Danio rerio: one gene and its partners. The main gene of each other region encodes a partner of the protein of the gene in region 2 in a complex. Links are inferred from orthologs where the notes say so. Each region holds a gene or a part of one and is shown on either strand. Other genes may lie near its edges.

Region 1 (3,760 bases), on a different chromosome or scaffold from region 2:
ACCTCATTTTTCTATTGTGAATATAGATGTTTCAGTTTAGCTGTGCATTAATCTCTGGCTGTGTTTACTTGCGGCTACCTCAAGTATCACCTGCTTTGTCCCAAAATGTGTGATTTTTTTTTTGATTTTTTTTTTTGACTAATGTTTGTCAGAAAATTTACCTCATGTTACTATGTACGTTGAAATTATTTTTGAATAAATTGGTTAAAATATTCTTGTAAGTTTTGGATTTATAACAGGCCCTAAGCCGGGGGGTTGGGTTGGATTAAGGTAAAGTTCGCACATTCGTTCAGTGACAGCTCCATATATTGTTTACCGTGGTACTTTGAATTTTCGGACTGAAATCAGATGTAAATATGACTTTAAAGCAACATTACCAATATTAAATTGACTGTCAACAATGTTGCACTTTGATGGTTGATGGCTGCTAATATGATTTCACTATTTAGAATTTGCAGTGAATACTTCTCTGAAATTATATTATTAAGGAGAAAGTGTGAATGTGCGAATATAAAAATTAACTTTACCTCAATAGGCTTTGAGGGGTTCGAAAGACCTACCCCTCACTAACAAAGGTCCAACATTTGTTCCATATATGAGCTTGTTTGTCTCATTATAATTGCTATGCTTCATAAATTGTAAAAATAACTAAGCAAAAAGGGTCTTAAAACCAATTGTAATCCTCTGTTGGCTGTTGCTGCGGTGTGACTTCAGCTTATCAGTTTTGAACCTTTGATTATTAATAATAATATGTATTCAAATGGGCAAATTCTAACTGAGGACAGTTGAATGAGCTGGCCAAGTTGTTGTTTGCCCAATAAATGTCGCTATAATAGGCTACAGTTTTTAATTTAAACATTAATAGATTCCTTTTTTTTAATTAATATTGGCTGTAACATTTGTTTTTTAAAAATATGTATTTATTTATTTTTCTTTATTCCAAAATTTTAGGAAATATTTTGATTCATCAAAATTGTGGTTATGATGACTATTCGACAGGTTAATTCAGCTAAAGATAGTGCTTAAAATATCACTAAAATGCAGTATATCTAATAATTAAATAGAAAATGAGGCAAATACCTGCAAAAAGGTAAACTTACTTAGAAAAAAGAACCACCCCTTTTACCAGGCTGGCTATGGGCCTGTATAATATTCATTCATTTTCTTTTTGGCTTAGTCCCTTTATTCATCAGGGGTCGCCACAGCAGAATGAACCACCAACTTATACAACATATGCTTTACACAGCAGATGCCCTTCCAGCTGCAACCCAGTACTGGGAAACACTCATACACTATAGACAATTTAGTTTATTCAGTTCACCTATAGCACATGTCTTCGGACTGTGAGGGAAACCGGAGGACACCCACTCGAACACGGGGAGAACTTGCAAATTCCTCAGAGAAATGTCAACTGACCCAGCCGAGAGTCCGAGACTCGAACCAGCGACCTTGTCGATATGTTGTTGTTGTTGTAGTTCATCATCCGCCGGAGTAGAGGGCAATATTACTCAATGGTGCTAGTACAAGGGAAAAATCCCGCGACCCAAAACGTCACTTCCTGCATTTCACTCATTCTCCGAACAACGCTTGAAACGTGATTCAAACGTATTTGTTTGACAAAACTAGCATATCTCACTAAATAAACATGAGCAAAGCACATCCACCCGAGCTGAAAAAGTAAGTATTTCAAGTATTTTCTTGAGTTTTTTAGAAATTTGATATTAAGAAGTATTTAACATGGGCAACTTATTAACGTTAGCCGGTGTGTGTTCAGTTTAACGGCTAAATTACTTTATTTTCACATCAAGCATAACTTATATTGCTAATCCATTTTGATATATTTTATATGAGTTAGCTTTCAGTTTGGTGGTGTATCTATTGTGAATTAAGAAAGTGCCTTTTCCCCTCTTAGGTTTATGGACAAGAAGCTTTCACGTGAGTAATCTTTTAATAACGTTAGATGTTTCTCTTTCCAGTTAAAATATGAATTATAGCTCAATATTAGGGCTGCACGATATTGAAAAAACTATACATTGCGATATTTTCTTTTTTGTAATTAAGTAATTAAATATTTGAAAAGTGGTTTTGTAGGGGAGTGAAATTTAAATATACATTTTAATGTAGTTTCTTATACAAACTAGTCACACACACAATTGGGTAACGTAATTATTAAAGTGAAATAAACCGTCCTTAATGGGTTTCTTGAGAGTCTAACAGTACTCAGTTGGGTTTCCACAGTGTCTTAAATGTCAAAATCCAAAATTTGGCCATTAAAAAGTATTAATTTGACTGAAATATTGTATTGTGTAGGTCTTGATTCTTTTTTTTTTTTTTTAAAGTCATGTGTTGCTACCCAGTCTGGCCATTAACACCCATACAATCACCAACAATCCTCTCAACAAAACCTTAAACTTTTTATTTAAAAAGGTAATTTTTAATCTATTTACCATAATGGTTTAATTATTTTCCATACAATAACATGTGTTTAAAAGTTCTCCATGTATTTACTACTGAGGACACTGAACAGGAGAGATTGTTGTGCATAGATTTAGTTTATTGTAGTTTTTAAAAGTTTTAAAATATTTGTTCTTTTTTTTATTTTAAAGAAAGTTTATGTTGAGGAAAAAAGTGTATAGATACAATTAGAGCTTGCTTGTTTTTACACAATATTTTGCTAAGAAATAAAATCGGAAATATATATATTTTTTTATTATTATTGTATTATTAAATGTATTAAAATATAATAATGTTTTTGATAGGGCAAATAAAAATCTTTTCCATCAGGGCTATTTGAAAAATTCCTTAGCTTTTAGCACTTTATGGGTCTAAAATGTAATTAATAAAGGTTTTATAAACAATTAAATTTAACTGTATAACCTGCAGAAACCCTGATTCAGGTACTGAAATCGAATAATCAAATGTAAAATAGCACTGTGTAGTCTTCACCATACACAAATTTTAATAAAATTAATCTTTATTAAACATTTTCATGCACTACTAATGTTTTAAACTCTCTTCAAATGCTCAGCCACATGCCTTAAAGTGATGATAAACTTTCACTCTATTGTGCTTAAATTCTGCAGTGTCTCCACAAATCTTGTGTGTTTTGACTAGTGGTTTCTGGTGGTCATCTATAATCCTAACTATCGCCTATCTTGCGATGTAACTAATGCAGATGCACACATTTCAATATCATTGCTCAAGAAGTGATATATTGTGCAGCTCTAATATATATTAATATTATTTCAATAAAAACGTTCAATGATGTATTTTACAGGGTCCCCGCGGGTCCTTAAAAAGTCTTAAAATGTCTTAAATAAAATTTTCGATTTTTAAGGTCTGAAAATGTCTTGAATTCTGTAATTTTCCATAAGGAGGTCTTAAATTTCATGTGGGATCTTAAATATCATGTCCGACTCGTCTTATGTCGGCAAATCAATGCCAATATAAATCGAGCGCAGCGGTGATGTTTGCGCGCGAGGAGAAGTGAACCGTGAGCAGATTACAGACACGCGAGAAAACTACAGCTGCAAGCGCACAGGGGATCTTCACGCGCGCGCTCAACTGATCCAGCGCGAGAAAACAAGTCCCGCGCGCGCACATCATCATCTTATGGCAAGCCCAAGAGCTCATAAAAACACTATTAATCAATCGCGTTTACAATTAAAACGCCGCATTAAACGGCGCTAATACCATTTCAAACGCCGCTAAAAACGCCGTTCTGATTGCAAACGCCGCAAATAACGCGCGTAAACCTGTA
Region 2 (3,660 bases):
CAGCATAGGACTTTAGTCCTGTTTTTGAATCTACCACTATGCTGACACATGGGCATTTGTAGCTCCGCCCTCTTCAGAAAAAGAGCACAATCTCATTTGAATTTAAAGCGACAGTCACCAAAACGGCACAATATAATGCTCGGAATCTTCACATAAACACTAGGGACATTAGAGACTTATTTTGTAAAGAAGTGGCATAAATAGGTCTCCTTTAGTATTGATAATAACCATGTTTACAAGATGAGAGCACTTGAGTGCACTTCAAGCTTAATTACCCACAGGAGAGACAATGAATGTGCCGTTGAGACTCGCATTTGCAATCTGTGTGTGCATTCATGAAGTCAAAGTGAATGTAAAGGCTCTTCAGTTTGTAGCATCATTAAATAAAAAAAACGAGTGTAAGAATAATCCCAGATAGTTGAATGTGAACTTATACAGTGCTCAGCATAAATGAGTAACCCCCCCCCCCCCATTTCTCAGTAAATATATATGCACTTTTGGATGCATTGGTAACACTTTACAATAAGGTTGTGTCAGGTAATGCTTTTACTAACATGAACAAACAACGAACAATACATGTGTTAGTGTTCATTGTTCATTCATGTTAACCCACTATGTAATATTAATGTGAACGAGCACGAATGTGGATGTTAATAATGCATTAGTAGATGTTGAACTGTGGTTAATAAATGCTGTACACGTATCATTCATATTTTGTTCATGTTAGTAAATACATTCACTGATGAAACCTTAATGTAAAGTGTGACCGAATGTTTCATTTAACAGTTCAGTCCATTAAAATAATATAATGAAGATACTACATGTAAATTCAAATGAAAGTTATTATTACAAGAACAATTACAAACTGTTACGAAATGTTAAATGTTTCATTTATTTTGAGAGGGTGCTCGCTGCAGAGCCATTTGAGGAGAGCTGAGCTCCAGCGAGGGGGAGCATGAGCTGTCGCTCCTCCTCCTGTAAGCTGTTTTAATGCGTACACCAACCCTACCCCTAACCCTACCCCCAGTGACATCACTCGTAGAAGAAGTGCAAAAAAGGTGGAGCTCAAGCTTAAGCTCCCCCTCGCTGGAGCTCAGCTCTCATCAAATGGCTCTGCAGCGAGCACCACTTGTTTATTTTCCCCAACATATTCATTTGTGTGCTGTAGGGATGGTAGACAGCTTAAACCCAAAGAATGAGCAGTCTGTCAGATGAAGAAGAGCCGGAGTCAGAGATTTAAATAAATAAATCAAGTTTACTGAAGATAGTTTGCAGTTTCATCAGCAGAAGCCAGCTTCAACACTCCAATGAGTTCCTAGGCCGCTCTGCTTAAAATCACCAATCAATAACAATTATATTCTCAAATAAGGCAATTAACTGCGTCACACATATAGGTGCTCTAACCTGATTGGTTAAAACACAGATAGACTTGGAAAATTTTCATGTGGCATTAAGCGTAAACGTCAGACATCCACTAGACCAGTGGTTCTCAATCTTTTTTCATCAAGTACCACCTCAGAAAAAAATTGTCCCTCCAAGTACCACCATATGACCAGTATTGAAATACAGTAGTGTAGTAGGCCTAATTAAGCAGCTACAACTCTGCACAGTTTAAAAACGTGGCAGATGAATTACTATAATTAATAATATTTATTATTTAAACCTTGTAAATAGTTTGAACGTTAACACTGCTGTGCTGATATGTAAAAAAACAAACAAACAAAATAACATGGCAACGTTTAAATTAAAATTAGCTTTTAAAAGTTCGTAAAAAGTGAAAAAAAAAACTCCTGTACTTAAATGGAAAGTGTAAACCTATAATATCCTATTCATCAAAGCCTGGAAATGCTGCTTGGACCTCATAAATATAGGCTATATGTCATCATGTTTATATATGAACCATTTTTGATCATTTTGAAATATATGTTGCATGTACAAATGACTATTGGATTACTCTGCGTACCACTAGAAGGCAGCCCACGTACCACTAGTGGTACACGTACCACAGTTTGAGAACCACTGCACTAGACTGATTAGAGCTGACTCCAGACCTGTGAAACGGATCAACAATCAAGTAGAGCACACACACTTAAAGTACAATCTGTTTGAAAAGTACATCCTGAGTGAAAATATGCTGAATGAGAGTGAACTGCTGAACTGCACTTAAAGTCTAAAGATTAAAAATGAAACGCCTGAAATTACATGAAACTCTGGAGGAAGCGCATGATAGCCTGGTGATGCCAAATTAAATGTTTTATACTGAAACTTTCCTTCTAAAAGTGCTTCCTTGGTCTTATCCAAATTTCTTAGCACGTTAAACGCACGTCGGCCACAAAAAGAAATTAAAAAACTGCAACTGCGTTAATTTTTTTAACGCGTTAAACCAATCACGTGCGTTAACGCACTAATTTTGACAGCCCTAGTTTTGACAATTATTTTATCCAAAAGTCAATATTTATATTTGAAATATGAAATGGAGATGGGTTGAATTCTCTCTGGGTCTGGACTTAGAGAAGTGCTCATATGTAGGCTGTATAAACTCTGTAAATAATCAAACTGTCTCATGATTAAGTTTCTGTCTTTTGTCTCCTGTTATTTCAGAGGATGATGATGATGATGATCTCGCGGAGCTGACTAATATTCACGGATATTCAGATGAAGATGACGAAAACAGTCTGTCTAAAAAAGACGTGAGCTTTACTCTCCGTCATCCATCCAGGTTGCTCTCCTGATCACTTGTGCTGAATTTGTTCTTGTGTACTTGCAGAAAAACCGTAAGCGCAGGAACAGGAAGAAGAAGAAGAAGAAGAAGCAGCGTGAGCAGGAGAAGGAGCAGCAGGACGAGGAGAAGAAGAAAGATGAGAAGGAGCCGGAGGTGGAGATCGAGTACGTGACAGAGGAGCCGGCCATCTATGACCCCAACTTCATCTTCTTCAAGAGGATCTTCGAGGCGTTTAAGGTCAGAAACTGCTTTCATTTAAAAGGTCACGATCCACACTCGTTAAATAATTACTTTATTTCTTTATTTTTTTTTTACAGATTAAGGTTTTTCGATTTTGAGGGAAATCATATTTTGACGACTTTGTGTTTTCTCCATTGTCAATGCTATTTGTTAAATTAGTTAGATTTTATTACACGAGCTGGATTCACTGGTCAGAATGGTGGGAAATCATAAGCATGAATATTTTGGTCGTGATTAAAATCTTGATTATTTAAAATGATTATTATTGAATAACTTTCCCAGAGATGGGTTGCGGCTGGAAGGGCATCCGCTGCGTAAAAAACGTGCTGGATAAGTTGACGGTTCATTCCGCTGTGGCGACCCCGGATTAATAAAGGGACTAAGCCGAAAAGAAAAGGAATGAATTATTGTATAACTAGTTACAATTATTAAATTACAGTAGAATAAAAATATACAAATGAAACAAACTGCTTTAAGCATCTTCACTGTAATTAAATTGATTTGTTTACTTATTTAAAATTAGCTAAAATGACAAATGTCTGGGACAATTTGTTTTGTGTTCAATCTACCTAAATTTGAACTTAAAAGTTAACACCAATAACTTTTTGGAAATCTTGCCCACTATAATAACTTTTTGGACACATGGTGCACTGTAACGCCTTTTTTGATATGTGGCCCACTATAATCACTTTTTGGAC
Region 3 (3,760 bases), on a different chromosome or scaffold from region 2:
TTAATATGTGTGTGTTTTGGGGTTAAAACTTATCCAGCTGCAGATATACACACGTTTCAGGCACACACGATCTAAGTTAGACGGGTGTTAATGTTATTAACCTCTTCTCGGACATCATCAATATATTTTACACATAAGGTTATTGTTAATATGTATTGTATAGGCAAACACTGTAAACAATAATGCATAGGCATACCATTTCACAAATATAGCGATCAAGACGGGCGAATGGGGAATAATCACCATTCAATATAATACACTGAACAGTTTTCCATCAGTCATCATAGATGATCAGTCATTATTTATCTGACAAAGTCAACATAGCAGATTCTCGTTTGCTCAAACATTTTAAACGATCTAATTTGGACAGGTTTAATTTATTTAATGGATGCATAATGAATGAAATATAGCTAATGTACAGGATAGGCTAATAGCCTACATCATTATATCAATGTAATGTACAAATCTTTTTACATTTAATAAATGTAAAACACTGTTAATCTTTTACTCCAGCAACTGAATAGTATATATTTGCTTAATTTTCTAATAATTTTTATAATGATCTCCCACATTAAATAGGCCTACTAGTAATTTATAGTAATATATTGAGTTCACCCCAAAAAATCAAATGGGCTCACTATTTACTCAGAGGTTCAGGTGGTTCCAAGCTTTTCTGAGTTTCTTTATTCTGCTGAACACAAGAGATGTTTTGAAGAATGCTGAAAATAATTATATGGAAGTTTTGTATTATATGTATTTTTAAAAATCCTAATTTGTGTTAAGAAGAAAGTAAATCAAAATGGTTTGGAACAAGTCAACAACCTAGTAAATAATGACAGAATTTTCGGTTTTGAGTGAACTAACCCTTTAAATGGGTAAAAAAAGAAGCTTGTTTTAAACGTTAAAAACTTAAAATAAATTTATAATATAGTTTATAATTAATTCGTCTGCATTTATAATAGTTGCGACATTTTCTGCGAGTTAGCATCTTACAATTTTGACTTTTGTCCAAATCTTTTTGATATTTATTTTATTTTGTTAGAAGTGTTTATCATAATTTGGATGTGTAAATGAATTATTATTATAATTATCATCGTCATTATCATTATAATATTTTTTTATCACCATCATCATTATTCTTCTTAATATTATTTTTATTAGCATCCTTTTGGGAAAGCGGGCTTTTATTTATTTTTTCTAATTGGAACTTTTATTTTGAAAGCCTGTTTTTTTTCGTCGCTGATTTCCACAGTGATGGACGGGTCAGTTGCTAGTTCCTCTGTGTGGGACACACAAAAAGTGTATAAACATCACGAGCAGCAAAATGTTGCCCAAACGCGACCAAAATACAGAGAAGGAAGACGCCTCAAAGCTGTTAAGGTCGGTTTATTTTATAAATGCCTTTATCTCATCGAATTGTGCAGCGTCAATGTAAGCAGTCATGTTGTCTTTAAGGTCTCTCTCACAAGAACTGAATCTCTGCTTATAAAAATAATGGCTGAATCGCTAATTTTAGGTGTACACCATCAACCTGGAGTCTCGGTATTTACTAGTTCAAGGAGTGCCCGCTATTGGAGTGATGGCTGAGCTGGTGCAGCTGTTTGCTCTGTATGGAGTGATCGAGGAGTACAGGCCACTGGATGAATACCCAGCAGAAGAGTTCACTGAGGTTTACTTAATTCAGTTCCAGAAGTTGACGAGTGCACGGTAAGAAAAGGCTGATTAAATCATGTCCCATGCGAGTCTGTGCCATATATTATATATTGTGCCATATTTTTCTTGTTGATGATATAATTTCAGAAAAGTATTCTTTGCATATTCTTAATAGTGAATCAAATTAGCAGCTAGTGACTATCAAAGTTCAACATTGTTCACAGTCAAATAAATAGTGGTAATGCTGATTTGAAGTCATACTTGCATGTGATTTCAAACCCAATATTAAAAGTACCATGGTAAACAATATAGGGAGCATGTCACAAGTTGTCATTGAAAGAATGTGTGAATCTAAAACCATCCTTACCTCAATGTACCATGTTGGTGCACTGCAGAGTCGCATTCACTTTTAGTTAAAGGGATAGTTGACTCAAATACTGTAACAATAACAATTTATTCACCCTCAAGTGGTTTGAAACACAAAGGAAGATATTTTGAAATCTGGAATCCAGTAACCATCAACTTGCATAGTAGGACAAATAAATAGTATTGAAGTCAATGGTTACCGGCTTCAAGCTTTCTTTAAAATATCGTTTGTGTTCAGCTCAGACGATGTTTGTGACATGTAACGGGTGAGTAAATGATGTCTATTTTTATTTTGGAGTGAACTGTCTTTGTAGGTTCCACAAAATGTGACTTAAAACATTATGATTCATTATTAAAATATTAAATAAACACATATAGAAAACTATATACAGTACACACACTACCATACAATTGTTTGGAGTCTTCCATTTTGAAAATGATTTTGAAAGAAGCATCTTATGCTCACCAAGTCAGCTAATATTTTTTTAACTAAAAACAAAGCATCAACAATCGGATGTATTATTACATTGTCACATTTTCTATCTTGTTTAAAAGTGTAATGTATTGTGTTGAGGATGAAGGGTAATTTTCATGCTTGGTACTCGCATTTATACATGGTTATTGTCACATGACTCTTCGGAAATAATTAATTTGCTGATTTGTTGTGCAGTATATAATTTCTAATTATTATCAATGTTGTAAAGTTGCACAACTTAACATCCAAAACATCTAAGGGTTTTTTTTTTTTTTGTTCAAGATTCTTTAATGTTCTTTAGTGTCTCTTTCTCTTTAATAACACTGTAAATCTCTTTACTGCCATTAAACATTTTAAGAATATTATAAAGAGTATTTATTGCTGATAATTCTATAAATACTTTTTTACATATTTTTTCCCCTCTAAACCAAAGCAAAAATCAAAGAATAATTATTTCAAATATATGGAATTAAGTAATCGTAGTTATTTTAATTATATTTTAATAAAACTATATATTTTTAGGATAGTGTCAAAGTAAAAATAGCTGTACTGGGATTTTTAAAAATATGCCTGACAAAAATTGTTTTTCTTATAAACTATTGTTACACTGAATGACATCCACTCACCGGCCACTTTATTAGGTACACCTTACTAGTACCGGGTTTGACCTCAGAACTGCTTTTATCCTTTCTGGCATGGATTTAACAAGGAGCTGGAAATATTCCTCATTAATTTTGGTCCATATTGACATGATAGCATGTCATTGAGCAGATAGGATGGATCCATGCTTTCATGTTTGAACTGGAGCAGATTGTCTCGACCATGTACATGCATAAATGAATTGAGTTGCTTTCATGTAATTGGCTGCATAGAAATTGGTGTTTACGAGCAGTTGGACAGGTGTACCTAGCAAAATGGCCAGTGAGTGGATATTGCCATGCTATATATATATATATATATATATATATATATATATATATATATATATATATATATATATATATATATATATATATATAATTTTTTTTTTTTTTTAAATTAATTAATTAATTTATTTTTTTACAGGGCAGCTAAAAGGCACACAGATGAAAAGAGCTTCTTCGGGGGTCAGCTGCATGTCTGCTATGCTCCTGAGTATGAAACCGTGGAGGAAACAAAGCAGAAATTACAAGACAGAAGGAGATATGTTAACTGGGCAAGCCGAAATGCAGGTATGGTAATGCATTGGTATTCTCTCTAAATAAATTGCATGTGTAGAAAGTCTAA

Evidence for each region. Proteins that work in one complex are often made in the same cells at the same time.
Region 1: sf3b2 (region 2) and snrpg share a complex: the UniProt entries of both Homo sapiens proteins name them as parts of the minor spliceosome. The link is inferred for Danio rerio from reciprocal best matches to the Homo sapiens genes SF3B2 and SNRPG.
Region 3: sf3b2 (region 2) and rbm48 share a complex: the UniProt entries of both Homo sapiens proteins name them as parts of the minor spliceosome. The link is inferred for Danio rerio from reciprocal best matches to the Homo sapiens genes SF3B2 and RBM48.

What each region holds. Positions count from the first base shown.
Region 1 is NC_133198.1:36,914,739-36,918,498, forward strand, and holds the start of snrpg (small nuclear ribonucleoprotein G), read left to right. Parts: upstream 1-1,528; 5' UTR 1,529-1,645; coding exon 1,646-1,677; intron 1,678-1,912; coding exon 1,913-1,935; intron 1,936-3,760. UniProt on the Homo sapiens protein: Plays a role in pre-mRNA splicing as a core component of the spliceosomal U1, U2, U4 and U5 small nuclear ribonucleoproteins (snRNPs), the building blocks of the spliceosome.
Region 2 is NC_133182.1:6,516,732-6,520,391, forward strand, and holds part of sf3b2 (splicing factor 3B subunit 2), read left to right. Parts: intron 1-2,601; coding exon 2,602-2,690; intron 2,691-2,767; coding exon 2,768-2,959; intron 2,960-3,660. UniProt on the Homo sapiens protein: Component of the 17S U2 SnRNP complex of the spliceosome, a large ribonucleoprotein complex that removes introns from transcribed pre-mRNAs.
Region 3 is NC_133194.1:42,804,697-42,808,456, forward strand, and holds the start of rbm48 (RNA-binding protein 48), read left to right. Parts: upstream 1-1,177; 5' UTR 1,178-1,254; coding exon 1,255-1,380; intron 1,381-1,516; coding exon 1,517-1,707; intron 1,708-3,559; coding exon 3,560-3,705; intron 3,706-3,760. UniProt on the Homo sapiens protein: As a component of the minor spliceosome, involved in the splicing of U12-type introns in pre-mRNAs.